Struthio camelus: one gene and its partners. The protein of the gene in region 1 interacts with the protein of each later gene in a biochemical or structural test. Links are inferred from orthologs where the notes say so. Each region holds a gene or a part of one and is shown on either strand. Other genes may lie near its edges. The genes, in order: LRP1, APBB1, PLAT and LPL.

Region 1 (7,993 bases):
CCCATGCTCAAAGTGGGGGAAGAAAACCGGTCTCACCCAGTGAATCCTCCACGTATCTCCATCCAGCACCAACAGGAAGCAGCGTCATCCCTCACCTCCAGCTCTGGACCCCGCACGTAGAAAAGCCAGGCCTGCCCCCGCTCCCGTAGTGAGGGGACAAACCACTGCTGCTCCCAAAAGCAGAGCCAGCCAGCACTCAGCAGCTGCAAATCAAGTACGGGCTGGTGGCAAAGAGGAACCAATTAAGGTGAAAGTCTAGTCCGTTCCCCTCCAGGAAGGGGAGGCTTTGGGCACCAAGGCCTTTGAGGAACAAGGAAAGACTTGGGTGGTTTTACTCTTCAGAAGCACCAAGAGCTGGGAGAGTGCGAACAGCCTCCTGCAGAGCAGAGAGCTCCCAGGTGCACCCCCTAGGCCCACTGCAGAGCGAGGGTCTCGCCATGCGCAGGATGCCGGGGCACCCTCCCCGTCCTGCCCCCGCGACCCGGGGCCCCGGCGGCAGCACCTGCTTCCTTCCACCAGCAGCCCCCAAGCTGCGCCGCCGCTCCACCTCTGCTGAGCCCAGCTCGGCTCAGGCCCTGTGCGGATGCACTCGGGGAAGCGGGCGGGCGCGCGCATGCATGCACACGCACGTGCAACACGCACTGCCCTCGTACACATGAGATGGGCCAGGCCACCAAGGCAGCGAGAGGAAAGCAACAGGCTGGATCACCCCTGCCGCCCCTAAACATGAGGGTTTCCAAACCGGCAGTGGAGCAATCCCCCCCTGCCCGCACCGCCTCTCCCCAGCATGGTTCACTGTGCAACGGGGCCCAGGGAGGTTTGACGCCCCGGCAAGCGGGAAGAGGAGCCCTGCAGAGACAGGAGCCGTGGACCAGTGCCCTTTGTCCCCCTGGAGAAGCTCTTCCACCCACCCCATCTGCTGGACTTTGTCTCCTATCTCTTCTACCACCAAAGCCAGAGAGGGATTAACAGCTTCCAGCACCGTGCACCAAGGGAGCAGGCTCGGGGGGCAGGCGCAGGACCGCTCTCTGCCTAAGGAAGGAGCATCCTTTCCACGGAGCAGGGCAGGACCCCCGCGCCCACCCCCAGCTCTGCCCCGGGCTGTCCGCGCCGCGCCGTCCCTGCGACTCGATTCCCCCCGCAGGGCCCACCGCGGCGGGCACGCTCCTGCCCGCGGCGCACCCCTGCTCCGGCGGACGCCGCGGGGCCGCCCGGCCTCCGAGACCAGCTCCGTGCCTTATTCAGCAGCGGCCCCTCCGGAAGCAGCGGGGCTCCCCAGAACCCCCTTTGCAACCTCCCAGGTGAACCCCACCCGGCACCCCGCTCCTGCCGCCAGGCCACGCGAAGGGTTTCTGGGGTGGGCACACCCCAAGGGGGAGATGCTCCCGCGCGGGGAGGCGCGCAGCCAGCCGCTCGGCAGGAAGGGGGTGCTTCCCGCGCCGGTTCCCGTGGCTCCCCGGCCGGGTGGGCAGCGGGGCAGAGGAGCTCCGCGTCGCCGTCGCCCGTTTCCACAGGCAACACCGCTTATGCGATGACTGATGCCTGCCCCTCCCGCCCCCGCCAGCTCCCGAATTCAGCGGCTTCAAACCGCAGCCCAGCGAAGGGGAAGGCGTCTGGGGGACGCGGGGGCCAGGCGAGCTCAGCGGGAGCAGCCGGACCCCGCCGGGCCCTCGGTGCCGGCGCTGCACGTGCCGCCTCCCGCCACCTCCGCCCTTCGGACCGAGCACCCAGAGCGAGGGACGGGAACGGAGGCTGCAGCCTCCTGCAGCACCGGCCGCTAATCGGGGGCAGGAGAGTTAATTTGGGGCCGGGGTGTTATCGAGCCTTCGCCCGCCTGGCCTCGCCACGGGCCGGCGCTGCTCCTGCCTCTGCCGCACCACCAAATAACCACAGCTTCGCCCGGCTCCCTCCAAGCGGGGGACCGGAAGGGACAGAAGAGCCTTCCCCAAAAAATCCCCTCACCAATCAACCGCTCCAGACCCGCCTGCCTTCATCAGGCGCTTCTGCACAGCGGGGACCCATAGAAGGGAAACGTCGCAAGCGAGCCCGGGAACAGCCCCCGTTTCTGTGCTTTTGAAGGGAAAAAGCAACCTTCTGCCCCACGCATTCAAACGCCGCGAGGAACTCCTTCACCGCTAGCTGCATTTGTTGCGCTGCCAGCTCCTCGGCGCGCTCGCGCTGCCAGCGACGGCCCCTCGCGCGCGCAAAGGCACCAGCCACCGAGCTGACGAGCTCGCAAAACTATTTACTGAATAGATCAATAAGAGCAGGGCCTGGACGTGCGCGGCGCAGGGAAAAGCAGCTCGGCCGGGCTGTCCGGCCGCTCGGTAAACACTTCGCGGGTGCCACCGGCGCGGCCCCGGCCCCGGCCCCGGCCCCGCGCCCGGCAGAGCCGCTTTCGCGCAGCGCCGCGTTATGCAAGAGGCGGCCGGGGGCGCCGGGTCCGCGCGGCCTCTCGGCCCGGCGGCAGCGCCGGCCGCGACGGCGAGTCACAACTTTCCTGCTCGGCTACCGGGGGCGGGGGGGGGGGAGGGACCGTTTGATTCCAGGGGAGGAGAACGAAGCGTTATTGCAGCTAATGGAGAGGAACGGGAAATTATCTGCCAGGGATATATTTGGGGGGGGGGGAGGATTTTGCTTTATTTGCTGAAAATCTGGGAAAAGTTCGCCGAGGGAGGAGGAGCTCGTCCCCGTCCGCGCCCCCCCCCACCCCGCGGGGCTCCGCGCACGGCGGGGGGGCACGAGGCGGCTCGGCGCCCCCCGCCCCGAGCGCTGCCGCCGCCGCCCGGCCCGGCCCCCCCCCGCGGCAGCCCCGACGGGCGCGGCGAGCCCCGCGCCGGGCGGCCCGGCGGGGCGCGGACTCACCGTCGAGGGCGCGGGCGGCGGGCGCGGCGAGCAGGGCCAGCAGCAGGCAGGCGGCGAGGGGCAGCGGCGGCCCCATGCCGGCGGTGCGGCGGCGGCGGCTCCTCACGCCGTGGTGCCCGCGGGGCGGCGCGTCCCGGGCCCGCGCACCGACATCCGCGGAGGGCGGGGAGGGGAGGGAGCGGAGGGCCGGGCCGGGCCGGGGCGGGCGGCGAGCGAGGCCCCTCCGCCTCGCGGCCCTGGGCGGCGGCGGCGGCGGCGGCGCCCTCGGGACGGGACGGGGCGGCCGCGGGGGCGGGGGGCTGCGCGCGCCGCCGCCGCGGGATGGAGCGCGCCGCCGCCCGCTGACGTCACCGGGCCCGGGCCGCCGCGCGGGGGGCGGGGGGCGTCGCGCGCCGACGGGGTGGGGGGGGGTCGTGCGCGGCGCCCGCGCGGTGCGCATGCGCGTGCGGTGCGGGGGCTGCGGGGCCCCCCCTCCCGCTAGCCCGCGGGAGGGGCTGAGGATGGGGATGGGGGTGGAGATGGGGCGAGGGGAATGGGAATGGGGATAGGGGATGGGGATAGGAATGGGGTGAGGAGATGAGGATGGGGATAGGGGATGGGAATGGGGATAGAGGATGGAGAATGGGGTGAGGGGATGGGGTGAGGGGATAAGGATGCAAATGGGAATAGGGATGGGGATGGGGATAGGGGATAGGAATGGGGTGAGGGGATGGGTGGGGATAGGGGATGGGGATGGGAATAGGAACGGGGCAAGGGGTGAGGATGGGGATAGAGGATGGGGATAGGGGATGGGGAATGGGGTGAAAGGATGGGGATGGGGGATGGAGATGGGGCGAGAGGATGGGGATGGGGAATGGGGATAGGGGATGGGGAATGGGGTGAGGGGATGGGGTGAGGGGATAAGGATGCAAATGGGAATAGCAATGGGGATGGGGATAGGGGAAAGGAATGGGGTGAGGGGATGGGGAATGGGAATGGGGGTGGGGAATGGGGGTGGGGATGCAATGGGAACGGGGATGGGGGATGGGGAATGGGGGTAGGAGCAGGGGCACGGATGGGAATGAGAATGAGGATGGGGATGGGAATGGGGAAAGGGGATGGGGCAGGGATGGGGACAGGGAATGGGGAGGGGAAATGGGATGGGGATGGGGCAGGGAATAGGGATGGGGATAGGGGATGGGAATGTGCGATGGGCATAGGGCAGGGATGGGGATAGGGGCAGGGGGCTGGGGCAAGCATGCCGCAAGCCCCTGTCCCCCCGCAGGCAGGAGGTGCCCCGGGGGAACGCGCGGGGCCAGGGCACCCGGCCAGGGCACCCTGCTCCCTCCGAGCTGCGATCCCCGGGTTTGGGGCTGCCGCCGGTCGGGGGGAGCAGCATGGGGGGCGCTCACCCCTTGGCACGGCCGGAGGCGGCTCTCCCCAGAGACCCCTTCCCCTGCAGGGAACGTGACCCTCCGTCGCCGCAAGCTGCGGCGCCGGCCGGGGCGAGCCGGGGCCGCGCTGCCGACGGCTGCAGCGCTGGGAAGGGCCCCGGGGAGCCGGCTGGCGGAGGGGGCAGCTGCAGGCCGGGGGGTCCCCACCTCCGGGCGAGCACCACGGCTGGGGAGCCCGTCCCAGGAGCGCGCCGGCGGCTCTGCCATCGCAGCGGGCCCCGGGCCATCGTGCAGCTGCCGCGTCACCCGGCCGTGCGGCAGCGCGGGGACAGTGGGGCGCGCGGGGCAGCCGCAGCGCTGCAGCCGCACGGCGCCGGGCCCCTGGGCCGGGACCTGCCTGCGCCCCCTTCCCCGAGTGACATCACACGCCGTCCCCCCCACCCCGTCCCGGCCAGGCGGCAGGGCTGCCAGGGCGCGGGGGGGTCGGCCCCAGGGCAGAGCGCCCGGCTGCCTCGCGGCCGCCTGCCAGATGTTCGGGAGGGCCCAGATGTTGCTGGGGCGCTGGCTGCACCCGCCCCGAGGCCCCAGCGGTTGTGCAAGCCCCAGGGCGCCGGGCAGGGGCCCTCCCACGCCTGCACCGCGGCCGCCCCCCCCCCGGGGGGGACGGGCCGGGGGCCGCGCCGTGCCCAGCGCCGGGGGGGGGGGGTGGACGGGCCCGAGGGACCCTTCCCCGGCCCCGCGGCCGTCCCGCTGGCCCTGGCCGCTCCTGGGGGTGCCGGGGCAGCGAAACGTGCCCTCCTGGAGCAGCAGGGTGCTGCGGGCGGGGGGGGGGGGGGGGGGGCACCAGGACAGGGCTGTGCAGGGTGCTGCCCCCCCTGGTGGGGCCGAGCTGGGTGTACCCTCATGGCACTGCGCTTCCCCGTGGGACAGCGCGGGGTGCACCCCCGAGGGGGCCCAGCTGGGTGCACCCCCCCGAGGAGGCTGTCCGGGTGCAGGAGCCCCCCCGGCCGCTCGCCCCGGCGCGCTCGCGCACCGCCCCCGCCCCGGGTCGGTGACACTGGCGGTGCAGCAGCGCCCCCTGGCGGCCCCGCCGCGGCCCTGCACCCCCGCGGCGCGCGGGGGGGCCACGGGCCGCCCGGCCCCGCGTGGGCGCCTTCCCCCAAAGCAACGTGCATTCCCAAAGGAATGTGCACCCCAAAGCACTGTGCACCCCCAAAACACCGTGCACCCCAAAGCAATGTGCACCCCCCAAAGCAACGTGCATTCCCAAATCAACGCGCTCCCCAAAGCAACGCACCCTCAAAGCACTGTGCCCCCCCAAAGCACTGTGCCCCCCCGAAAGCAACGCGCATTCCCAAAGGAATGTGCTCCCCAAAGCACTGTGCACCCCAAAACACCGTGCACCCCCGAAAGCAACGTGCATTCCCAAATGAATGTGCACCCCAAAGCAGTGTGCACCCTCAAAGCACTGTGCACCCCAAAGCAGCGTGCACCCCCGAAAGCAACGCGCATTCCCCAAGCACTGTGCTCCCCAAAGGAGTGCACACCTCAAAAGCAATGTGCCCCCCAAAACAGTGCCCCCCCAACACTCTGCCCCCCCAGAGGAATGCGCTCCCCAGAGCAGCGCGCCCCCGCGGGACACAGCTGCCTCCCCGGCCCCGCGCGGCACCGTCGCGGCTCCGCACGCTCCGGGCAGCAGAGCGGCCGCGAAGGGGCGCGCGGCGGCGTCACGCGTGTGCGTGGGCTTCCGCGCCCGCAGCGAGGCGCAGCCAGGAGGCTGCTGTCCCTGCTTGGGGGGCCGCGGGGCCCGGCCGGCGGCGGCAGCGGAGCCCGGGGCAGCCCGGCCCGCGGCCGGTCGGGGGCCCCGGCGGTGCGGGCGGTGCCGCCGCGGCTCGGGCCGGGCCGGGCCGCGCACGCAGGCGCCCCGGCGTCTCCTCCCCTTCCTGGCGCTGGCGGAGCGGCGGCCGCGGGTGCCCGCTGCGGGGAGCCCGGCCCCGGCCGCCCCCGGCCCGCGCCGCCTCCCGCGGGGCCCCCGCCAGGTAACGGGCCGGGCCGGGACGGGACGGGACGGGACGGGACGGGACGGGACAGCGCCGGGGACGCGGCCCAGGCTGCGCCGGCACCGCCCCGGGCTCGGGCGGCGCCCGGGGAGCTCGGGGCCGGGGGCAGCCCCAGGGGAGCGCTCACCCCCAAAGCAGCGCGCCCCCGCGGGACACAGCTGCCTCCCCGGCCGCCCGCCGGCCCCGGGGGCAGCCCGGGGGGGCGGGCGGGGGGGCTGGGGGCGGCCCGGGGGGGCGGGTCGGTGCGCCGGGAGCAGCTCGGGGGGAGCGGCCCGGGGGGGCGGACGGGTGGGCTGGGGGCGGCCCGGGGGTGCGGGTCGGTGCCCCGGGAGCAGCCCGGGGGGACGGGCCGGGGGGCGGCCCGGGGGGGCGGGTCGGTGCACCGGGAGCGGCCCGGGGGGGGCGGGCGGGCGGCCCGGGGGGCGCAGCCTGCGGTGCAACACGGGGCAGGTTTGCAGCCCGAGCAGCATCCCGGGCCGGGGTCGGGGGGTGCGGGCTCGAAAGCCCCTGCCCGGAAGGAAGGGAGGAAGCTGGGGGCTGGCTGCAGCCAGCTGGGGACGTGCCTGGGGAAGGGGGAAGTTGCCCTCGGTCATGGGCTCGTCCCGCCAGCACTGCCGGCCCCGTTGGGGCCGCGCGCAGCCCTCTCTGCGCCGGGGGAGCGCAGCTGGGCTTCGCTTTTCTCTTCTGCTTTTCTGCCCCCGGGCTTGCCCCTGCGCTGCCGCCCCGCGCGCCGGGGCTCCGGGGTCAGGGCGAGGGGCTGCACGGCGTCCAGCAGCGGCGCGCTCGCGTAACTCTGGTTTCCCGCCAGGCCGGGCTGCAAGCAGCAGCCGGGAGGGCCCTGCTCCGGGGCTCGGGGAGCTGCCCCTCGAGGACGGGGCATCCCGCAGCGCCAGAGGCAGCTTTCCAGCCCCAGGGCGTGCCTGAGCCGGCCGGGCGGCTGCGGGCTGCGCTGCCCGTGGGCCGGGGGAATCCAGCGGCGATCCTGGCCGGCGCTCCTGCTCGCCTCCCGGGACGCTGCGCGGCGTGCCACGATGGCCGGGCGCTGCCCGTGCGCGGTTCGGTTCGGTTCAGAGCGGCTGCTCCTCCGGCTGGGCTGGCCTGGACGGGCCTCGGGGCAGGGCTGTGGGGCCTGCAGGGCCCCAGGGTGGAGAGGCCGGAGCGTCTCGCGTGGATGCGGCCGGAGCCGGTGGGCGCCTGCGCGGCGGTCCGACCCCGAAGGCGCGGGTGGAAGCGCCGGCTGGGCCAGCGCGGCGCGGCAGCCTGGCCCAAAGTCCAGCACCAGCACCTGCGGGCACGGCTGCCAGCTCCCCGCCGCCGGGACAAAGTGAAAGCACCCAGCCGGTGCCTCCTGGCGCGCTGCGGCGCTGAGCCGCCGAGCCCCGGCGGGTCCTGCGGACGGGGTCCCGCGGCGGCGCGAGCCGCGGGCTTGGTCCAGCCTGGACTTCCCACGCTGTGAGTCACGTCGGGCAGGTCCGCAGGGGAAAAACCTGCGCGCTCACGCTCTTCTCCCTCTGACTCAGCAGGGCTTTCGCCGCAGGTGCGCCGTGGCCGGCCTGCGCCCCTGCGCCCGGCTCGTGACCGGCGTCGCCGCGCTGCTGCCCCAGGACCGCGGTCCGGTGCCTTCGCCTCCCCGCGGGACGTGGTGCCGGAGCGCGAGCGGCGCCCGGGTGACCTGGGTTTCGTGCGCTGGAAAAT
Region 2 (8,014 bases), on another chromosome or scaffold:
GTGAGTGGGTCCCTGCACAGCTCCAGACACCTGACGCCTGGTGAGGCCAGTCCCGTGGCTGGTGGCTCCGCATCCTGTGCTCCAGGCTCATCAGTTGCTTCCTCTGCTGCGGTGTCCTGGGAAGAGAAGAGGGGGCTGGCAGGAGCTGGGCACAGCAAGGCACCCCCCCTCAACCTGCAGCTGCCTCTTACCTTCCAGAAATCCCCATCGCCAAAGCGCTCAGCCGGGGCGAAGCCCGTCCAGGCGAGCTGCGGAGAGAGTGGTGCCGGTTCAGTGAATGCACAGCAAAGCGATGCACCCCGTCCCCCCTGCACCCCAGGGCTCACCGGCTGCTCCTCGGACGGGGTGTTGCTTTGGGAGCTGTGTGCTGAGCCCCGGGCCAGCCCCGAAGGCGGCTCCCACTGCGTGGTGCCCGTAGGGATGTGCCAGTAATAGGTGCCCGAGGTGTCCTGCACCCGCATCCATCCCGCAGGCAGGTCTGAGTCCGTCTCGAAGGAGTTTCGGGTCCAAAATGAGTCTGGATGGGGTGAGGAGGGCTGGTGAGGGCCCCCTGCAAGGCACAGCCACCCTACAGGCACCATGGAGCCTCCCTGCCCCCCAGGACCAGGCACCTGCCCCATTGCCCAGTAAGGTGGGGTCCTCCACACCAGGGTGACCACCAGCCCCCACCCCCCCATCAGCATGACCATGGGGATCCCATGGCCAGGCACGGCAGCAACCCCCACTGCCATGACCATGGGGAGTCCCATGGCCAGGCAAGGCATCACCCCCCCATCACCATGACCATGGGGGTCCCATGACCAGGCAAGGCACCACCCGCCATCACCATGACCACGGGGGTCCCATGGCCACGCAGGACACCAACCCTCACCACCATGACCATGGGGGTCTCATAGCCAGGCAGGACACCAATCCCCATCACCATGACCATGCGGGTTCTATTGCCAGGCAGGGCACCACTCCTCCATCACCATGACCATGGGGGTCCCATGGCCAGGCAGGACACTGACCCCCATGACCATGACCATGGGGGTCCCAGGGCCAGGCAGGACACCAGCCCCCCATCGCCATGACCATGGGGGTCCCATGGCCAGGCAGGACACTGACCCCCATGACCATGACCATGGGGGTCCCAGGGCCAGGCAGGGCACCGACCGCCATAGAGAGAGGGGTCCCCACTGCCAAGCAGAGCACTGGTACCCCATATTGAGGGGTCCCACAGGGCAGATGCGTGAGTCAGGCATCGTGTCCTGGCTCAGGACCCTCAGGGCCGGGGGGCAGTGCTGCAGCCCACCCCCCCCCGACATGCCCTCGCTGGGGCACCCCGAACACAGAGACCAGCCCAAGCGCCGGGGCAGGGAGGGCTCCCCGTGCTGCAGCCCCCAGGCCCGCCGGCGCCAGCCCCTGTGCGCAGCCGCCCTGGTGTCCCAGCCCTGCTGCGCAGCCCCTACCTGGGCGCGTGTCCAGCAGGACGATGGCCAGGAAGTAGTCCTTGCTGTACATGGCGCTACCGCCCCATCCCGGGGTCCCGCCGGCGGGGACCGCACGCTGCCGGCCAGAGCGCAGCCTAGAGCCCCCACGCCCCCCGGCCGCCGCGCCGCCCTCCCGCCGGATCCGCGGGGGACGCGCGGCGCAGCGCCTGCCCCAGCTGCCTGCCCGCTGGCCGGCCAGCACCTCCCCGAGCCCCCGGCCCGCGCGGCTGCCGTGTCCCCCGCCCCGGGCACGAGCGCCGCGCTGTCGGCACCCCGCACCCTTCCCCGCCCGCCGCTGCGGGGAACGGACCCCCGCCCCCTGCCCGGGCGCCCGGCATCGCCCCGCGCCGGCCGGCGGCCCTGGCGCAGCGCTCACCTGCCGGGACCGCCGGGATGCAGGCGTTTCCCCGGCAACCACTGACGGCATCGGCACAGGCCGGCGCGCGGCCACGGGGACGGGGGCGCGCGGCCGTGCGGGGAGAGGGCGCTGGGGGGCACAGCGGGGCCGCGCAGCCAGGGAGGGGGGGCAGGGGCAGAGCGCGGGGCGAGCGGCAGGCGGCAAGGGGGCCGGGCGGCTGGAGACGGGGTGCGCGGGGGCACAGCGGGGACGGGGAGACGGCCCAGCCAGGCACAGGGCTGGGGTCACGGCGGGGGGGGCTCAGCCGGAGCGCGGTCGCGGGACGCAGCGGGGACCGCGCAGCGTGCCGGGGGTACAGCTGGGCACGGGGCGCGCAGAGCCACAGCGGGGACCGGAGGAGGGCGTAGAGAGCCCCAGGGGCCGCCAGCAGGGTCCGGGGTACAGCGACGGGGTGGGGGGCAGGCCGAGGGGCAGGGGGATGGGAGGGGGCCGAGACCCACCTGCGTCGTCGGGGGAACTGCAGGCAGGGCTGCCCTGGCTGAGCGTGGCCCAGCTGGAGTCCTCGTCGCTGGCGGTGCTGCTGCGCACGCCGAAGAGCAGGCTGGCGCTCTTGCCGTGCTCCCGGGGGGCGCGCTCCGAGCTCTGCTCCGACTCGGCCGTCACGGGGTCGCTCTGCACCGGCGTGGAGTCCCCCCCGTCCCCCTCCTCCTCCTCCTCCTCCTCCTCCTCCTCCTCCTCCTCGCCGGCCCGCAGGTCTATGAGCAGGCCGGGGCCGGGGCCGCAGCCGGCGTTGAGGGCGTTGCGGGCGGACACCTCCAGCTCCTGGGGCGGCGGCGGGGGGCCCAGCTCGTTGCGGTTCTGGTCCCGCTCGGCCGCCTTGCGCAGCTGGTTCTGCCCGTCCTTCACCCACTTGGCGTTGGCGGGCTCCTCGCCCGGCGGGGGGCCCAGCCCCACGGCGCTCTGCAGGCCGGTGCAGCCGTAGATGCGGCGGCCCTTGGGGGAGCCCGGGGGGGCCTTGGCCGGCAGCGCCTGGCCGGGGGGGCCCTGCAGCGCCAGGCTCAGCCCCAGGCAGCTGTTGTCGTTGGCCAGGTCGCTCCGCTTGCCCAGGGAGCCCGACATGGCGCCGGGGGCCGGGGGGCGCCGGCAGGGGTGGCAGCGGCCGGGGGGCGGCCCCACGCGGCCGGGGGGCGGCCCCACGCGGCCGGGCCCGCTCTCGCCTGCCGCCGGCGAGGAGGGCTCCTACGCGCCCCGGGGCGCCGGCGCCTCCGCCTCCATGGGGCCTGCGGGCACGGCGGGCTCAGGGGGGGCGAGCGCGGCGCCCCGGCCCCCCCCCCCGCTCCCGCCTCGCCCGCAGCCCCCCCACGCTCCCCCGGGCCACGGGGTGGTGCTAGACCCACGGACACCCGGCCCGGCCCCGCTGACCCCCCCAGCCCGGTCCTGCCCCACCGCCTCACAGCCCTGCCCCACTGCCCCCCCCAGCCAGCCTGGCCCTGCCCCACTGCCTCATAACCGGCCCGGCCCTGCCCCACTGACCCCCCCAACCCCAATGACCCCCCAGTCAGCCTGGCCCTGCCCCACTGCCCCCCCCCAGCCAGCCTGGCCCTGCCCCACTGACCCCCCCAGCCAGCCTGGCCCTGCCCCACTCCCTCATAGCCGGCCCGGCCCTGCCCCACTGCCCCCCCAGCCCCAATGACCCCCCAGCCAGCCTGGCCCTGCCCCACTGACCCCCCCAGCCAGCCTGGCCCTGCCCCACTCCCTCATAGCCGGCCCGGCCCTGCCCCACTGCCCCCCCCCAGCCCCAATGACCCCCCAGCCAGCCTGGCCCTGCCCCACTGACCCCCCCCAGCCAGCCTGGCCCTGCCCCACTCCCTCATAGCCAGCCTGGCCCTGCCCCACCGCCTCACAGCCCTGCCCCACTGCCCCCCTCCAGCCAGCCTGGCCCTGCCCCACTGCCCCCCAAGCCTGGCCCTGCCCTGCCCCACTGCCCCCCCCCCAGCCCCAATGACCCCCAGCCAGCCTGGCCCTGCCCCACTGCCCCCCAAGCCTGGCTCTGCCCCACTGCCCCCCCCCAGCCAGCCTGGCCCTGCCCCACTCCCTCATAGCCAGCCCAGCCCTGCCCCACTGCCCCCCCCCAGCCCCAATGACCCCCCAGCCAGCCAGGCCCTGCCCCACCGCCTCACAGCCCTGCCCCACTGCCCCCCCCCAGCCCAGCCCTGCCCTGCCCCACTGCCTCATAGCCAGCCCTGCCCTGCCCCACTGACCCCCAAGCCTGGCCCTGCCCTACTGCCCCCCAGCCCGGCCGAGCCCTGCCCCACTGCCCCCCCCCAGCCCCAATGACCCCCAGCCCAGCCCTGCCCTGCCCCACTGCCTCATAGCCAGCCCGGCCCTGCCCCACTGACCCCCAAGCCTGGCCCTGTCCTACTGCCCCCCAGCCCGGCCGAGCCCTGCCCCACTGCCCTCCCCCCAGCCCCAATGACCCCCCAGCCAGCCTGGCCCTGCCCCACTGCCTCATAGCCGGCCCAGCCCTGCCCCACTGCCCCCCCAGCCCAGCCCTGCCCCACTGCCCCCCCCCCAGCCCCAATGACCCCCAGCCGGCCTGGCCCTGCCCCGCTGCCCCCCAGCCAGGCCCTGCCCTGCCATCCCCCCAACCAGCCCCGCTGCCCCCCAGCCATAGGGCCAGGCCCGGACACCGCTCAGGCTGCAGACCCCACACCACACCGGGTCAGCCCGGGGCCCCAGTGGAGCCCCCCAGCTTTGCCATGGGGGGGGTCCCGGCACCGCCATCGCCCCCCTGCAGCCCCCATGGCCCTCGTAGGCCAAGCCCCATGCCCCCTGCCCAGCTCCCTCCCCAGCCCTTTGTCCCCTCCCTGGCCCCCAGACCCCCGGCCCAGCCCGGGCCCCTCCCCAGACCCCTGTCCCCATCGCTGCAACACCGACCCCAGCCCAGGTCCTTCCCCGGCCCCCAGACCCCCCAGCCCGGCCCCCTCCCCGGCCCTCAGACCCCCCAGACCCCCCACCCAGCCCCCTCCCCAGCCCTCAGACCCCCCAGGCCCCCAAACCAGCTCCCTCCCCAGCCCTCAGACCCCCAGCCTGGCCCCCTCCTCAGCTCTCCCAGACCCCCCAGTCCAGCCCCCAGACCCCTCAGACCCCCTAGAACCCCTCCCTGGCCCCCAGACCCCCAAGACCCTCAACCCTCTCCCTGGCCCTCAGACCCCCCAGACCCCCAGCCCAGCCCCCTCCTCAGCCTCTAGACCCCCCTGTCCTGCCCCCAGATCCCTCAGACCCCCAAGACCCCCTCCCTGGCCCCCAGATCCCCCAGCCCCCCCTCCCCGGCCCCCCAAGACCCCAGCCCGGCCCCCAGATCCCCCAGCCCCCCTCCCCGGCCCCCCAAGACCCCAGCCCGGCCCCCAGATCCCCCAGCCCCCCCTCCCCGGCCCCCCAAGACCCCAGCCCGGCCCCCAGATCCCCCAGCCCCCCCTCCCCGGCCCCCCAAGACCCCAGCCCGGCCCCCAGATCCCCCAGCCCCCCTCCCCGGCCCCCCAAGACCCCAGCCCGGCCCCCAGATCCCCCAGCCCCCCGCCCCGGCCCCCCAAGACCCCAGCCCGGCCCCCAGATCCCCCAGCCCCCCTCCCCGGCCCCCCAAGACCCCAGCCCGGCCCCCCCCGGCCCGCAGCCCCCGCCCCGCTCCCCGGGCTGAGCGCCGCTGGGCCGGACCGGGCCCGCCCGCCGCCCGGGGCCGGGGCTGGGGCTGGGGCCGCCGCGGAGCCCCCCCGTCCCCGCCCCCGCGGCCCGGCCCGGCCCGGCCCGCTGCGGCCCGCCCGGTACCTGCGGCGGCTCCGCGGCGGGGACCGGGGGAGGGGGGGCGGGGGGCGGGGGCGGGGCCTCCGCTTCCGCTTCCGGGGGGGCGGGGCGCCGACCGGACCCGACTGGACTGGACTGGGACGGACCGGGCCGGGCCCGACTGGGCTGGACCGGACCGGACCGGACCAGACCAGACCCGACCTGACTGGACCAGACCGGCACCGACTGGACCGGACCTGACCGAACCAGACCTGACTGGACCGGACTGGCACCGACTGGACCGGACCTGACCTGACCGGACCAGACCTGACCGGCACCGACTGGACTGGACCCGACCGGACCGGACTGGGACGGACCGGGCCAGCACCGACTGGACTGGACTGGACCAGACCAGCACTGATTGGACTGGACCGGACCTAACCGGCACCAACTGGACCAGACCCGACCAGACTGGACGGGGACGGACCGGGCCAGCACCGACTGGACTGGACTGGACCGGACCAGCACTGATTGGACTGGACCGGACCTAACCGGCACCAACTGGACCAGACCCGACCAGACTGGACGGGGACGGACCGGGCCAGCACCGACTGGACCGGACCAGACTAGACCGGGCCAGGACAGACCAGACCAGACCTGACTGGACCAGACTGGACCGGCACCGACTGGACCAGACCCAACCGGACCGGACTGGGACGGACCGAGCCAGCACCGACTGGACCGGACCGGACTAGACTGGGCCAGGACAGACCAGACCTGACCTGACTGGACCAGACCGGCCAGCACCAACTGGACTGGACCCGCCCGGGACGGTCCAGGCCAGCACCAACTGGACCAGACCAGACTGGACTGGGCCGGGACAGACCAGACCCGACCTGACTGGACCGGACCGGACCTAACCGGACCTAACTGGACCGGACTGGCACCAACTGGATGGCAGAGCTGGATGGCTGAGCTCAGAGGGTTGTGGTCAGTGGTGCAGAGTCTAGTTGGAGGCCTGTAGCTAGCGGTGTCCCCCAGGGGTGAGTCCTGGGTCCAGTCTTGTTCAAGGTATTCATCCATGACCTGGAGGAAGGGACAGAGTGCACCCTCAGCAAGTTGGCTGATGATACTAAACTGGGAGGAGAGGCTGACACACCAGAAGACTGTGCTGCCATTCAGAGGGACGTGGACAGGCTGGAGAGGTGGGCGGAGAGGAACCTGCTGCAGTTCAACCAAGGCAAGTGCAGGGTCCTGCCCCTAGGGAGGAATAAGCCCATGCAGGCACCAGTACAGGCTGGGGGTTGACCTGCTGGAAAGCAGCTCTGCAGAGAAGGACCTGGGAGTGTTGGTGGACAACAAGTGAAGCATGAGTCAGCAATGTGCCCTTGTGGCCAAGAAGGCCAATGGGATCCTGGGCTGCATTAGGCAGAGTGTTGCCAGCAGTTCGAGGGAGGTGATCCTGCCCCTCTACTCAGCCCTGGTGAGGCCTCACCTGGAGTACTGTGTCCAGTTCTGGGCTCCCCAGTACAAGAGAGACATGGCCCTACTGGAGAGAGTCCAGCGGAGGGCTACCAAGATGATTAGAGGGCTGGAGCATCTCTCCCATGAAGAAAGATTGCAAGAGCTGGGCCTGTTCAGCCTGGAGAAGAGAAGATTGAGAGGGGATCTCATCAGCGTGTATAAGTATCTGAAAGGGGAGTGTCGAGAGGATGGGGCCAGCCTCTTCTCCGTGGTGCCCAGCGACAGGACAAGAGGCAACGGGCACAAACTGAACCACAGGAAGTTCCACCTGAAGCTGAGAAAAAACTTCTTTCCTGTGAGGGTGACAGAGCCCTGGCACAGGTTGCCCAGAGAGGTAGTGGAGTCTCCTTTGCTGGAGATCTTCAAAACCCGCCTGGACGCGATCCTGGGCAATGTGCTCTAGGGGACCCTGCTTGAGCAGGGAGGTTGGACTAGCTGATCTCCAGAGGTCCCTTCCAACCTCAGCCATTCTGTGATTCTGTGACCCGACCAGACCAGACCCGAACGGGATGGACTGGACTGGACCCGACTAGACCGGACTGGACCGGGCCGGGACAGACCAGACCCGACCCGACTGGACCGGATCGGACCAGCACCAGGTGGATTGGACCAGTACCGACTGGACTGGACCAGACTAGACCAGGCTGGGACAGACCAGACCCGACCCAACTGGACTGGACCGGACCGGACCAGACTGGACTGGACCAGCACTGACTGGACTGGACCAGACTAGACCGGGCTGGGACAGACCAGACCCGACCTGACTGGACTGGACCAGACAAGACCCAACTAGACTGGACCAGCACTGACTGGACCGGACCCGACCGGGATCGACTGGATTGGACCCGACCGGAGCGGACCCGACTGGACCAGAGCAGCA
Region 3 (6,842 bases), on another chromosome or scaffold:
GTTTTTCAAGTAGGCATTACTTCACAGGACTGTTCTAGCTGAATCTGAACTAAATCAGTGAAGTTCCTGAAGATGCAGTGCAAGATCTAAACTGTTTCTCAGAAGTCACTTGGTTGCTGCTGTTATCCTCAATTCCTGCAGCTGTTGCCCATTACCAGAGCTATGCGCGGACATGTTCTGAATCCCACAGCTGCAAGGTTTTCAATTGCTCTTCGTTAGTACCACTGGTTATTTTTGCTGCCATCTGTGAGGGAGGCTGGAATCTCTCACTGACAGCTTTAAGAATGAGATTCTGCTAGCTAAGACCTCTTTAAGGAAAGATTCATTAAATGACACTCAAATTTGAGAGGAACTGTTTTGTTAGAATTTCTCTCTGGGAAGCACCATAAAGAACTGTTGAGACCTTGTTTCTGAGGTACACATTAAGATACCCAAAATAAGTCAACATTGGTGAAGTCTGAATTTATCTATTTATTTATTTTTGCAGGACAGAGTGGCAAAGCCAGCCTATCTAATATCTTGGAGGGAGTCCAAGATGACTGAAACCAGTGGGAACTATAGCTAGTTTTAGGGGGGGGGGGGAACCCCTGCTTTCACCAAAAAAAAAAAAAAAAAAAAAGAAAAGAAAAAAGAAAAGTCTTAGAGACTGAAAGGAGAAATCCCTATTTGAAAAGCACCTGAGTGACTTGGAATAAGAACTGAATGTTATAATCAAGTTTATCCCGTATAGTCTGCTGCACAAGCACGTTCTAATCTTATGCTGTTGTGTGCTTATACTGCAGAATGCTACAGCTTGTGTTGCTGCAGTTACCATGCGTCAAATACTGCATCCTTTCCTCCGCTTAATTTTGCTGCCCCAGTTCAGGCTAGCTGGTATTATAATGCTACAACCTTTCCACCCTCCTCTCTCCTCCCATGCCTGTCCATCCATTTGTGGCTGGCGTCCCAGTATACATGGAAAGTTGGTAACATCTGTTGACAGCTGTATCTTTCTAGTCTCATCTTTGGGAAAGGTAGAACCTATGCCAGACAACTGAAATGTTTTGAACGATAAGCCCTATCAAACTGACACCATATGGCTGTTTGAAAAATACTGTGTTTACAAGACTGCAAGCAGAAACCTACTAGCAATACTCTTTCTTATAGAGCTCTGCTAAACAGTCTGTGCCTGCTGCTCTGACCCTTTGCTTCCTCTTTGATGGAGAAATAATCCAGCAAAAAGTCTTTGATTCTATACTTTCAGGTATATTAGGGCATAAAGGCATATGATACCCTGAATGTATAGTGGCTGTTACACTTAATTCTTTTGGAATTCAACATGAATTAGAAGCTGCTTGTTTTGTTCATAATTAGACTTTGAGCAAGCATGTGTGTAATAAGGAAATAGTTTCCTTAACAAGAGAAACAGACAGAAGGGGGAAATGGAGCTGAGGAGGATGAATTTGGAGGTTTGGCTAAAATATGTTTTAAAAATGGATCAAGATTTTAAAGGATGGAGTGAATTGCTACAGTGAATGCCTAGGCCTTGTAGTGAGAGCTTTCTACTCTTAGAAGAGCCAGTGCTATACAAATCTTTTTCCTATTGACCTTTATGTTAGCCAACACGTAGGGGAGTAAGCTGAACAAACATACTGCAACCAATACGCTATAGCATTTTACTGGAGATGGTTTATTCCATGCTAATCAAGCAGACCAGCAACTCATGAGATGCCACACATGGTACAAGGATTGAGTTAGTAGCATATAACTCGGTACAGGCATGGAATCAACCTGATAAGGAATGCTGCAGATGCATTACCTCTGCTGAAGCATCATCAGCAAGGATACTTTAAATCTCAAGTTTTAACTCTTAATGATTTTATTTTTAGTAACAGCCTTTCTCAGCAGCAAGGATATGAGTGTTATCTTACAGATGTAGAAAAAGAACTTAAAAAAAACCCCAAACGAACAGCATCTTACCAAGGTCACACAAAAGTCATTAGTAGAACAGAGATTAAAAACAGCTCCCCCTAAATCCCTCCCCTGCAGTGACCCAGATCTGTCCATTAGAGAATACTGCTTTGATTCTGAATCTACAGCACTAATGGTTTTCTTCCTGATGGACCACTATCTTGAATTAGTTCAAATAAAGGATTGCAGATCCTTTCTGTCTTTTCCTGCCTTCTGGAGAAAGTGTTGCTATATCCGTTTTCTGAACTGAGCAGAAGATATTTGGACTCTTTACTATTTCCCTTTAAAGGATGACAGCGGACAAACCTTTCCTTTTGGAGAAAAGAAATAAAAGAAATAGTAAGAGTCTGAAGTCTTTGAAGGCATTGGAGGAAATGACTATTTCAAAGTCCGGCTTCCTTTTGGGAATCACTCTCAATATTTCCTGTGGTTTTGGCTGCATTTGAAAGGAGGGTTTTCAGAGAGAACTGAAGAAGACTCGCCCTCCTCCTCTCTGTCCCTCCATTATCCTGGTTGGGAGCCTAGGGAGAAATGCATAGTCTGATCTCCTCCCAGGAAGACAATAAATAATCCTTTCACAGCTGGCTCTCCGGGTCTCTCCTTACCATCAGGACGTTTGTTTACAAGCCTTCTTTGATATGAAGTTCTTTTGCTAAATTTTCTCTGTGCAGGAGACTCCTCCCTGCTAACTGGTCAGAGCCTGAGGCTGTCAGCCCTTTCCATGGAATAGCTTGCTGAGGCTTTCTTGAAACAACTGAAAACTAGCAGCTTTAAATCTCCTCAGACGCTGAAAGGCAATAGCTCAGTGTAATGCCACTAAAGCACCATGATATTTAATTATTAAATAATAATGTTTAGTAGTATTTAATAACAATGCCATTGATGTTGAAAATGGGAAATACGCGTTTTGAAACAGGTGCAGAGTAGCACATACCTTTTGACTTTTCTTCTTCTGTATTCTGCTGATGATTTCCTTTACAGACCAGTCTGGTTATGTGTTTTCTGCGTCTCAGCTCTGATCTCTCTGAACAGCTCCTATCCTACTTAAAACTCTACTCAAGGGGGTGGAGACTGAAGAGGGCGGTAGGGCAAACTTTTTTTTATTTTTTTCTTCTTCCAGAGGGAAGATATTGGGCAGGCTGTGGGGATGACCTAGGACAGGGTGGCTTGCATCCATTGTATTTTTTTTTTTTGGGGGGGGGGGGAGGTACAGGATAGGAAGAAAGGTTGCTTGCTGAAGTAGTAGGGCATATTGAATTTTACAGCCAACTGGTTTTGTTCATTCTTTATTCCAGTCAGAGTGCAGATTCAGTCCTTAGAACAATTTTTCTACCTGTTTAACATCTTAAGGTTCAGGAAGAGGGAGAGTAGTATGTATCCCTTATAAAGAACTGTTTCTTCATGCTTTTAGGAACATGAGGGGAGAAATGCCCAAGCAGCGCCCCAGTGAATGCACGAATATATTATTTCTAACGTGATCAGAGGTCTGCAACTTGTAGGCTTTGTCTTAAACCTGAGGAGCTCCCATTTCAAGCAGGAGCATGATGTGCTGTGTCCGAATGATATCTGTTGAGAATTTTTGGCCTGATCTCTAAGTGGAGCAGAGCATGCCATGAGCAGTGCCACTTGGAGATGAAATTGTCAGTGGAGCCCTCAAGTTCCATGCAGACAGTGAGCAAAACTGCTAAGAATCCTTAACTAGAAATGAGGAATATCATGGTAAGGACCAAAGGGTTAAAGGTTTATTGCTTAGAAAGTGATAGTCTACTTACCAGCATACAGTACGCAATATCAAAGTGTGGCAGACAAATACAAATGATCAGTTTTAGATCTGAACTTAGGGCTGGGATATGACAAGTATCAGTGATGTAGTGGTTACAGTAACAGATGTGTGCTAACTTTTAGGAACTGATTCGCTAGCAATGAGGTTCCTGATACAATTTAGTGTAAGCACTGACATAAGAAATAGCTCGTGAGGGACTTTCACTTTCAGGAAATAGCTGCACAAGAGTCCCCTGTTGGGAAACTCGGCAAGGGTTATTAAGCACAATGGCAAAAGGAAACACTGGTGACCCTGAATGATTCTCTCTTCTCTGTGTGGAAATCTATGTCAGAATTTATAACTTGTTTCTCTGAGAGTCACAATGCAAGCAGTAACGTAACTGCCATGAAACTGATTTAGGGACACCTGGTTATTGACTGTTACCACAGGGAACTCCTGGTTGTTGAGGAAAAAGGTGATTGGACGCTGCAGAGAGAACAGGTGCTAATTTGTGTTATTTATAAAGATTCCAATTATTTGCTACTGGACTTCTAGATTAAAGATGCCAACAAAGTGGTGGTTGGGGACAGGATTCAAAAAGTTATTTTATTTCCTGGCTTTTCACAGCTCGTGTTTAAGGACACTTCCTGTAAAAAGATTTTTCTGCAGCTGACTAGAGAGCGTGGTATAAGTGTCATTTGTAGTGCTTAACATACTTTAGGAAAGCCAGCAGTAAGCGTCTCCTGCTTCAACATAACAGCCACCATCTCCTGGCTTACCTCTAAGCTGCTCCTCTCTCAGGACAGGGTTTCTGCAGGCTACCGTGTTAGTGATGAAGTGTGGAGCCTAGTCTGTCAGGATGTTGTCTGGGCGCTCTTCATCAAGAATGCAACTGTTCAAATGCTTTGTGGATCCTCTACATTCAGTTCCATACCAGCTGCAAACTCCAGGGCATGTAGGAGGTCTGGAGGGGACTCGGGACAACTTTGGTTCAGGCTGTACGTTGCCTAACTATAACTACCATAACATCTTTACTAAATACATATCAAACCTGGAAATTGGAAGGTTGGGGTCGGGTCTATTTAACAACATTAAAAGATGCTAAGTTGAGAACTTTAATCTCTAGAGAAAAGTTTAATCTGCTATGCCTTTTTCCGGTAGTGTGCATAGCTCTTGGTGAAGGGCTCAGGTGATCTCTGGAGATGCTGAGAGCACTGGAATTCATGTTTTGGGGGGGGGGGGGGGTGCCTTTTGGGGGGGAGTTGTTTTTTGTTTTTCTTCACAGACAGTATTACTTCACATGTATATGTGCTATCCTCATCACAGTAAAGACTGCATCAACAGTTTCATCTCTCTGTGACAGACCAATGTTGAGGTTGCTTCCCTTTGCATGGTTGTCCATACTAATAATTAGGATTAGATTGATATTTTAAAAACAAGTAATTGTCACCTATGGTAGACAGCTAAATACCTTTAAAAATCAGTTTTAAGTGTCCAAATGCAGACAGTCCTAAATCCAACTTGTTACTTGTCTTACGTAGAAGACCTATAAACTGTTCCAGCTTTATTTTTATTATTAAGTGGTAGAGAGTACATTCAGAGGTGCCCAGACTGGATGTAAATCTAATTGTGCTTCTTCGAATATCCCATTATAAACGTGTACGTCAGCATATCAAACCAAGCATAACACGGTCCTGCTCCAAAGAGCTGCCTGTCGCCCTCCGCTCTCTCTAGAGAGGAAGGTGCATGCTCACTGCTGAAGCAACTGTGTGTCAGAGACTGCACCCTCCTGAAGAAGGGTGCTGCTCTTAGCCATATCTTTCTGCATTAGCTTTGTATCTTAAATGATATTTATGAAACCGTTCGGTGTAGAAATCTGTGTCCCAGGATAATGATATGTGATGGATGAGTGAGACATTGAAACTAGGGTAGCAGGAGATAGGTATCTGCATGAGTGGCAGATAGGTATCTGACAAGACGGACTCTAGAGTGTTAGGTTCTCTCATGCGTATAGCTCTCAGTGAATTGCAATACTGCTTATTGCTAAATGCGTTAAACAATAGTATTATGGGGTTGGATGTTTTCTTTGGAGCTGGGCTTTTCGGGGTTGTTGGAGTGTGTGTGTGTGTGTGTGTTTGCAGCATGCAGAGTTTGGGCACAAGGCAGTAAAGAGAGCAGCGCTCCAGGCAGCTTAAGTTCAAGAGCCCCCTCTGTTGCACGTTTGCTGGAACCTCTCTACCAATGTAGATATAAAATGAAGCCATTTTCTGGTTTCATGGGGGAAAGTTCACTGTCTGCTAAGGTGAAAGAAGTATGTTGTGGTATGAATAAAGTATTTGCACAGATCACTGCTTTATAGTCACTGTACCTCTGCCTTATACAAAATCCTCTTAGGGATTATTCTCAGCGTTACTTGAAGTACGTGCAAAAAGCTACTCAGATTCTGCCGTTGTTCTGCTTGTGACTAGGTCTGAATGTTTTGATGCACAGAAGTAATTTGATGAAGTGTTCTAGCAGTAAGGAGGATAGACTTTTTTGAAAATGGATGCTACTGGCAGGGACGCCAGTTGCCTGCATTCTCTAGAGATGGACTTTTGGTAACAAAACCTCAATAACCATGTCAGAAGTCTGTGCGTCCCCCTTCTGGCAATCCTTTGCTGCCATAGCTGTGGAGGATTTCTGGCACTCTCTTTGGGCAGCAGCTTTCCTGAGCAATCAGGATACGGAATGTGCTTTTGTCCTGGAAGGTATGTGTTGAGCAGCTGATCTTGACTGTCTTCTTTCAGTGCAGTGACTGCCAAACCTCCGTCTCCTCTCGTAGGATGTATTGATGCATTTCTGTCCTGATAAGTAAGTTCAGTCTAATGCCAGAAGCCAAGTTTATTGTGGTCACTTCACTCTGCACCTTCTCTGAGCTCTGTTATTTGAATAACAGTACTGTTTCACCCTGTGCTGTCTTCTCCACCTAGGCTGGCCTCACTCTGATTAGTTACTAAGTCTTAGTTTTATAAATAAGTTTATAAATAAGCTTTATAAATATGTTGCTGAAAATGATTATCAGCAACAGCTCCTTATTCTCACATGGGTACTTGGTACTAGGTGAAGAGACTCTGTGCTTAACCAAGGACTT
Region 4 (7,014 bases), on another chromosome or scaffold:
AACCCCACTGACTTTAGGCATTCTGACACAGTGTAAATGCAAGTTTACACCCTAATCAAGAAGAGAATTCAACCTCAAATTTCCTTCATGGGAAATCTAAGACAGTCTTGCAGTTGATTTTCATGAAGGAAACTTTATCACTAGTCAGCTGGGTGGAGAACTTGGATTCTGAGGAATAACAGCATCTGGAATATCAAGCAAAAATTAAACTGCCAGCCTCAGACACAGGCGGCCAAAAATCATAATAATGCAGTTGCCAAAATCAGTGCATCTGAACTGTGAATTTAACAGGGAAACTTTGACAAACAACAATTTCCTCATGTTATTTACACAAAAATGAAAATACTATCAGCTAGGTGCAACAAACATCAGAAATTAGACTGCTTGCCCATGTAAACGGAAGTCCACACACACACACACACACACACACACACAGCCACAGAGGCACATATCTGCACATCAAGTCAAACATTTACAGAAACAGCTGGAGTTAACTGAAATAGCTTGTCCTCCAGATGATAACCGGCACTATGGCAAGGCATCAGTCGTACTGAATTCCTGCATGGCGTCTCAAGCAAACTCAGACAGCTGTAATAAAGGGACTGTATCACAGAAGGTGTTACTGTTTAATTTGATATTTTCTATAAACTGAAATCAGACTTCTGTGTTGCAATCCCATAAAACCTACCCCATAAGTCAGGTTATTGTTTAACTTTGCTGTGACAGAAATTCGACTTCCAGTTTATTTATGTCTTCCTTAACAGCAGAGCTCTGAGCCCAAGTTCTCCCACATTTCCCAGGCAGAGCCAGTGGAAAGACCAGCACCTCTGAAAAGCCACGGGCCCTAAGCTTAGGCGCTGAGTGGGGACCTGCCTGCTCAAGCCCCGCAACTGGTGGTGTGAGGCAAACCCCCGCTCTGCCACCGTGCACGTGGGTGCCTGCCCCACGGCCGAGGCGCTCCCTGTCCAGCAGATGCTTACTCAGCTGCAGCTGGGAGGCTTGTAACTCAATCAATTTAGTAGCAGAGCTCTTGCCATCCATCAGTCCCTCTGGGGTATCTGGAATTAGCCCAAGACAAGAAAATACAATCACTGTCAACTTTACAGTACAAAGGAGGCATGAGAAAGCCACACCATGCAAGCACCTAAGAAATTCCTACACCTAAGAAATTCCAGCAAGCTTCCTTATGAGCGCTTATCCTGATGCTACTCTCCAGCACACTTTGGATAGCCTGGATGCCTCACCTCTGCTCGGTCTCAGAAATGCATTGCTGCTGGAAACACCATGCCACAGCTGCTCTGGTAGGTCTATCCCAAACAGCCGTAGCACAAGCTGGCAGCGCACATCACACAACAGTGTAAATCTGGTGTAACCCCTGACTCTGGATTTACACCGGTAAAAATAGAGAACAGAATGCATTCCCAGAAATGTTATCTTTTCCTGGAACACCAATGTTATCTTCACCTAGAAGATTTTTTTAATGTTGTTTATTAAAGACTCTGGATTCCTGGAGGGTTGGGTCATGTATTTTCCATGGTTTCAAAACATCTTTTTACTATGGTGAGCAAGAAATAAGAGTGAGAGTTGAGGCTTAGATAGTTTTAGGACGGTCACACAACCTGTTCTCATACAACCTGTTTCCATGGAGAACTAATACAATCATTAGAAAGGCTCTGTAGCAAAGCAGTTCCTAGAGGGATGAAAGCTTGCTCAGAAAAAGTTATCTCACTTTATGAAACTTAGACACTTTGATGAAAATCACTTTTGATTGCCTCTGATGGCACAAGATAGAATTTAATACGAGAATACATTCCTCTGGCTGTGCCCTAGCACCCCATCCCCTTACTTCTGAATACTTCCCTCCAGCTTCTTTATGCAGAAAGCAAATAACAGAAACATCCACAGTGAAAAAAGCAGCAGACTCTATTTTCCACTTTAGTTTCACTTTGTGGCTATAACAGATACATCCACATTTTCTTCTAACAGTGTGGACTTTTAAAGATACACTAATCTCTCACACACAATATCTAAGAAAGCGAGACCTTGACAGGGCACTGCTATCATAAATTTGAGGACTGCAGGACTGTTATAACCAGCTTCTTTGCTTGTTAAATCTGCAATCTTCTCACGGATTAGCCAAGAGAGTATTAGTGAGCATCTACTACTCACTGTGTGTAGATGCTCTAATTTCTATATCCTGGGGGGTGCCTATACATATATATAAAACAGGTATTGCATAGGCATAGTGATGCACATATATGTAGTAAAGTACACATATGTGGACCCTGTTAGGGTATAGCCATCCCTTTGTTAGCTTTTTTCTTAATACAGTCTGTTGCAGGAAAGGCATTAACTACAACTACAGTGCCATGCCCCGGCTGAAACTCAGCCGTGTGCCCTAGACCCCGCAGTTCCTAGGGTCCGAGAAGGGTAGGAAGTGGGGACGCGGGGCTCCCTGCGGCCCCCCGGGGGGCAAGCAGCACCCCCCTGCCCAAAACCTCCCCCCTCCCCCCCCCGCCAGCCTCCTCCCCGAGCGGGGAAAAAAAAAACCAACCCCTCTTCCCCACCACGGCGGCGACACTAGTGCCTGCAGCCGGCCCGCCCGCCGCGCAGCCCGCGCGCCGCCCCGTCGGGGCCGGGGACCCACTCACCCTGGGGACCCACTCACCCTCGGCCGCGGCCGCCGGCACCCAGCGCAGGCAGAGGCAGAGGGCTGCCAGCAGCGCCGCCCGCCCCATGTCGCCTCCTCGCTCGCTTTCCTCGCTCTCTGGCGCGGCGCAAAAGTTTCGGTGCAAGGGAAGAAGAAGGGGGGAAATAAATAAATAAATAAATAAGTGGGAGGGTGGGTGGGGGGAAAAAGTTTTAGAAGAGCTGCAAAGCGAAAAAGAAAAAAAAATAAAAACAGATTAAGCTCACTTAAGGAAAAAAAAAAATTAGCTGCCCCCCCCCGCCTCTCCCAGCAAAGCACCCCGGCTGCGGCAGGCGGGCGCCCCCTCTGCCACCGCGGCTCCCCGGTGGCCCTTATGTCCCCGCCGATATGCAAATATGCAAATGAGCCCTGCACTCATTGGCCGAGCCGCCGAGGGGCGGGGCCGGGGCTGCCCGGAGCCGGGGGTGGGGGGCGAGGCAGCCCCGTGGGGCCCCACCGCCCCGGCACAGCACGGTCCAGCCTGGCACGGCACGGCACGGCACGGCACGGCACGGCACGGCATGGCACGGCACGGTTTCCCCACAGCCCCCTTCTGAGATGCTTTTCTCGTGCGGGGTCCCAGGAGTTTCTCAGAGGGAGGGATGGCCGAGACCCAGGAGCTCAGGCAGCGCACAGCGGTGCCCACATCTGCCCCGCTCTCTCCTTGTCCTGTGGCACCTGCCCCCTGAAGGGCCCGCTCTGCCCTGCCGTTTCGCTGCGGTGTGGGCATCAGCCAAGGGGCTCACCCGTGCTACTCTTCCTTTTGCTTTGCATTTCTTCCCTGTCCTAACTCCTCTGTGCATGCAACAAGATCTCCCTTGTCGTCCACCTTTTTGTGCCAAGAACCAACTGTTAATTGCACTCGTAATCCAGCACCTGCAATGGGCCTTCTGCTGTTCACTTGAAAAGCCCCTGCCAAAATCCTGTTTTGCCTGTGCTTAAGGGAGTACAAGTCTGAGGTGTAAATAAATACCCTAAAGACTGCATCTGTACTCTGGAGAAATGCAAAGTTACATCTCTGAGCTGTTCAACTCTCAGTGCCCTTTTCTCAGCAACATGGTTTGCAAGCAGCTTTCCATTGTTAGCCACAGGGTGAAAGATCAGTTATGTAAGCACTTGCAATAAAGAAATATTAAGTTAATGACAAGACCAATTTTTATTTCATTCTGCGGTGCTTTGTCAAAGCCCCAGTTTCATAAAGAAGCCTTGAACACACGGAACGAGAACTCCTTGGTTTGTGCAAGGTGGAACAAATGGGATTCCCTTTGGGTATGACTGATTCTTCTGATTCATATTAGTGAGGATGTTCAATACAAGGTTACTTCAGCACTGCAGGACAGAGGTCACCATTGCAACTTTAGATTTCATAGGAAGAGTAATAAGACCTTTAAGAGAGAATACATCTTCCCCAGGACAAAGCACGAGGTTCCTTCTCTACTAACTCCTATTTATATCCAAAAGGCAAAGAAAGAATTTAATGACGGTGTGACTGAGCATGCTGAGACTTACTTTCCAACTGAGACAACTGGGCTAGGGTGCTAACCTCTGTATGGGTGAGTGGGAGAAGGTGGGGTAGACAGGAGGTGAGAGGCTGGGGGGAAAGGGGAGAGACAAGTCTGCCTTGCCAGAGGAGTATAGTGGTATGACAAATGGGGTTTGTGCTAGCTGCATCTTGCTCTTGATAAATCAGCGAGTCACGTCTGATCAAAACGATGGCAAATTTTTTTTCTCTCTCTTTTATTTTTATTCAGTATTGACTAAACAATGCGCTTTCTCTTGGTCCCATTCAGCTGAAACTCTATAGCGTAATTTGCCCCCAGAAATCTGTCTGACTCTATCTAGGTTCAGACAATAACTGTAGGAAGACTAATAATTTAATTTTAACTGCTAATTGGATCAGATCAAGCAGGTGGAAAAGAGCAGTAGCAATGCCTGGTTGGTCAGCCCTGGGTGGTCTACTGGCCCCTACGAACCTCTGGAGATCCACAGGCTGGAATCAGAATTTCAATTTGTTCCCAACACAAATCTTGTAACTTATCAGTCGCAAGAGCAGGCAGCAGATTTGCAAACTACTCAGAATAAAAACTGAGTCGTTACATGGAAAATGCTTGCTTGCATAATTTTATGTTCCTTGTCATGCCCACGCCTCATCTTAAGATATAGTCTGAAAGCGTTGTGCAAAGTCTCCACCTAAAAATAAAGAAGGAAAATTAAAAACAAAACACAAATAGAAAACTTCCATATAGTAAAAAAAAAAGCCTGGTGGGATATTTCCGGTTTCCCGGTCTTGAACAACTTGTCCAAGTCTGCTGTAAACCGAGCTGCAAAATAATCTGAAATATATGGGACTTCATGAAGGCAGAAAGCATTCCTAAACACTAAGCAATCTGCAGTAGCACTGTTCTGACATAGCACGTTCTCCGACATTTAAAAATGTTCTTTCCCTTGCAGGTAATGGTAATCAGACCAAGGAGAACCTTTGAGGCATCAACTTGAATGCGCCTCAGTGCAGTTAATAGTGGATATGAGTTTTGGTTCTTCTGCAAAATAAATAATCCTATAAGGGAAACCAAAGCTCCATCCATAAAACAGAGCCTAATTTATAATACCAGAGGATTCCCAAGTGGGTAGAAGGTAACAGTGAGAACTAAAATACATTGTTTCTATCCAGAGGGGGAAAAAGTTCAGGAGGAATGGAGACAGGAATTGCATAACTAGGCTGGTACTTGCACCCACCGACCATGTAGAAGGTTAATGTCAAAACAAGCCAGCAAGAGTCCGCAAGACAGCATAGGCAGCATCGGTTTGTGTGGTGCAGCTGCAAGAAACCCTGAGCAAATTCACCAGACGGACTCGACTGCGAGCGAGAGAATACTCAACACCAAAATTTTGTTTACACAGCAATGTTCCAAAGAGCGCTTGAAACACCAGGCAAAAGTGTAAAAACCAGAGCAGAGAAACTAACTGTAACTGTGAAAAATTCTGTGTTGCTTTAACCCTTTTCTAACAAAAGGCTCAGAAGCTAAGGATGAGAGGTCTTCTAAAGAAAGACTTCTGCTCAGAAACAAGCAAAAAAACTGTTCTCTTGCTTTCTTTCCCCTTAGGAAATGCAAATAAGTAAGAAGTCTTTGTTTACATTTTATAAATATTTAAATTTTGTCTTTTCCTGAATGGAGGAAAACAAGGGAAATTACATCAAAAAACTCAGAAGGAGGTTCCATGTGTTTTCTATGTGAGTAAATAACAATAAATATATTTTTTTCAAAGATACCAATGAAATATTTTTGAAAAACCCTTTCTCATGAAAACCAGCCATTTCTAACAAAATTTCAGTTTGGGAATAAAAGTGGCCCTTCCCAGCCTTTGCCCACAATGACATTTGGGTTGTGGGCACGACTCCACCTGCAGTGGAGACCCTCCAGTCCAGGGCTGAGGATCGTTGATGTGCTCTGAGGGAGGAACAGCATGTCCTCAAGCCATCCAGGCACAAACAGGGACTGGGTGGTCCTTGGCGAGCCTGTCCCATCAAAGCTGATCTGTAAGTGTTTTTGGGCACGGTCTTGCCTCCCTTTCCACCCTGGACAAATCACAGCGGGGGTGGCGAGCATGGGGCAGAGGCGCTGGTCGGACGGGGCAGGGTCACGCGGGTGGGAGCTGCGGGAAGGGTTTCAGCAGGGGCTGCCTGGGTGTCTGTTTGACGACGCAGTCCCGTGCAATTTCACTTTGTTGGTGCCTGAAGAGCTCAACGGGAGTCAATGAAAGGCAGCGAGCTGTGCTGCGGCTGCGGCTCTGCCCGCAACAGGGGCACCTGCTCCTCCTGCACTCTTGCCTGCCTTGGGTGACCAACGTCACCCATGCAACAGGAGGAAGAAATCTCCTATGGAGGACGACTGTTAGCAGTCTTGGTTTCCTACCCTTTCTACTACTGTGGTAGGACTTGCTGTTCTGTTCCCAGGTTGCCTCATCTTGCAGACGAGGTCCACTTCTTGCTGGTTATCACCAGGATTCATTTCATTTCATCCTGCTCTCTTATTTTCAGCGTCAGACGCAAGCTGCCCACTCTCCCGAATAAAGAGGTACGAGCTATAGTGAGACACCCCGCTCTGCTAGGGAGCTGCAGAACTGGCTGCAGAGTAGGCTTGCGCTGCAGTGTGCTTTAATTAATTATCACGCTGCTGGTACTGCCTGCCAAAGTCAGCTGGCTGTCTCGCCAGACGTGTCTTTCAAAATGCAACGCCGAGGGAGTGACATTCCTGCACCCCTTTTGGGGCGGCCGGTAGGGGAGTGGAGGCCACCTCCCCACCCATTGGTCGTGGGGCTGATGT

What was found.
Region 2: the proteins of LRP1 (region 1) and APBB1 form a complex in vitro, tested with the Homo sapiens proteins (2 studies listed by BioGRID and IntAct, with this or other methods). The link is inferred for Struthio camelus from reciprocal best matches to the Homo sapiens genes LRP1 and APBB1.
Region 3: the proteins of LRP1 (region 1) and PLAT form a complex in vitro, tested with the Homo sapiens proteins (2 studies listed by BioGRID). The link is inferred for Struthio camelus from reciprocal best matches to the Homo sapiens genes LRP1 and PLAT.
Region 4: the proteins of LRP1 (region 1) and LPL form a complex in vitro, tested with the Homo sapiens proteins (3 studies listed by BioGRID). The link is inferred for Struthio camelus from reciprocal best matches to the Homo sapiens genes LRP1 and LPL.

Annotation. Positions count from the first base shown.
Region 1 is NC_090969.1:285,934-293,926, forward strand, and holds the start of LRP1 (prolow-density lipoprotein receptor-related protein 1), read right to left. Parts: upstream 3,017-7,993; 5' UTR 2,942-3,016; coding exon 2,866-2,941; intron 2,328-2,865; exon of another isoform or gene 1,726-2,327; intron 1-1,725. UniProt on the Homo sapiens protein: Endocytic receptor involved in endocytosis and in phagocytosis of apoptotic cells. Required for early embryonic development. Involved in cellular lipid homeostasis.
Region 2 is NC_090942.1:225,072,451-225,080,464, forward strand, and holds the start of APBB1 (amyloid beta precursor protein binding family B member 1), read right to left. Parts: upstream 3,015-8,014; 5' UTR 2,950-3,014; coding exon 2,331-2,949; intron 518-2,330; coding exon 327-517; intron 249-326; coding exon 192-248; intron 117-191; coding exon 31-116; intron 1-30. Other genes in the region: spidroin-2-like, read right to left, coding at 4,553-4,621, 5,656-6,693. UniProt on the Homo sapiens protein: Transcription coregulator that can have both coactivator and corepressor functions. Adapter protein that forms a transcriptionally active complex with the gamma-secretase-derived amyloid precursor protein (APP) intracellular domain.
Region 3 is NC_090968.1:7,903,049-7,909,890, forward strand, and holds the start of PLAT (tissue-type plasminogen activator), read right to left. Parts: upstream 3,009-6,842; 5' UTR 2,885-3,008; intron 1-2,884. UniProt on the Homo sapiens protein: Converts the abundant, but inactive, zymogen plasminogen to plasmin by hydrolyzing a single Arg-Val bond in plasminogen.
Region 4 is NC_090982.1:12,935,661-12,942,674, forward strand, and holds the start of LPL (lipoprotein lipase), read right to left. Parts: upstream 3,007-7,014; 5' UTR 2,969-3,006; intron 2,872-2,968; 5' UTR 2,739-2,871; coding exon 2,669-2,738; intron 1-2,668. UniProt on the Homo sapiens protein: Key enzyme in triglyceride metabolism.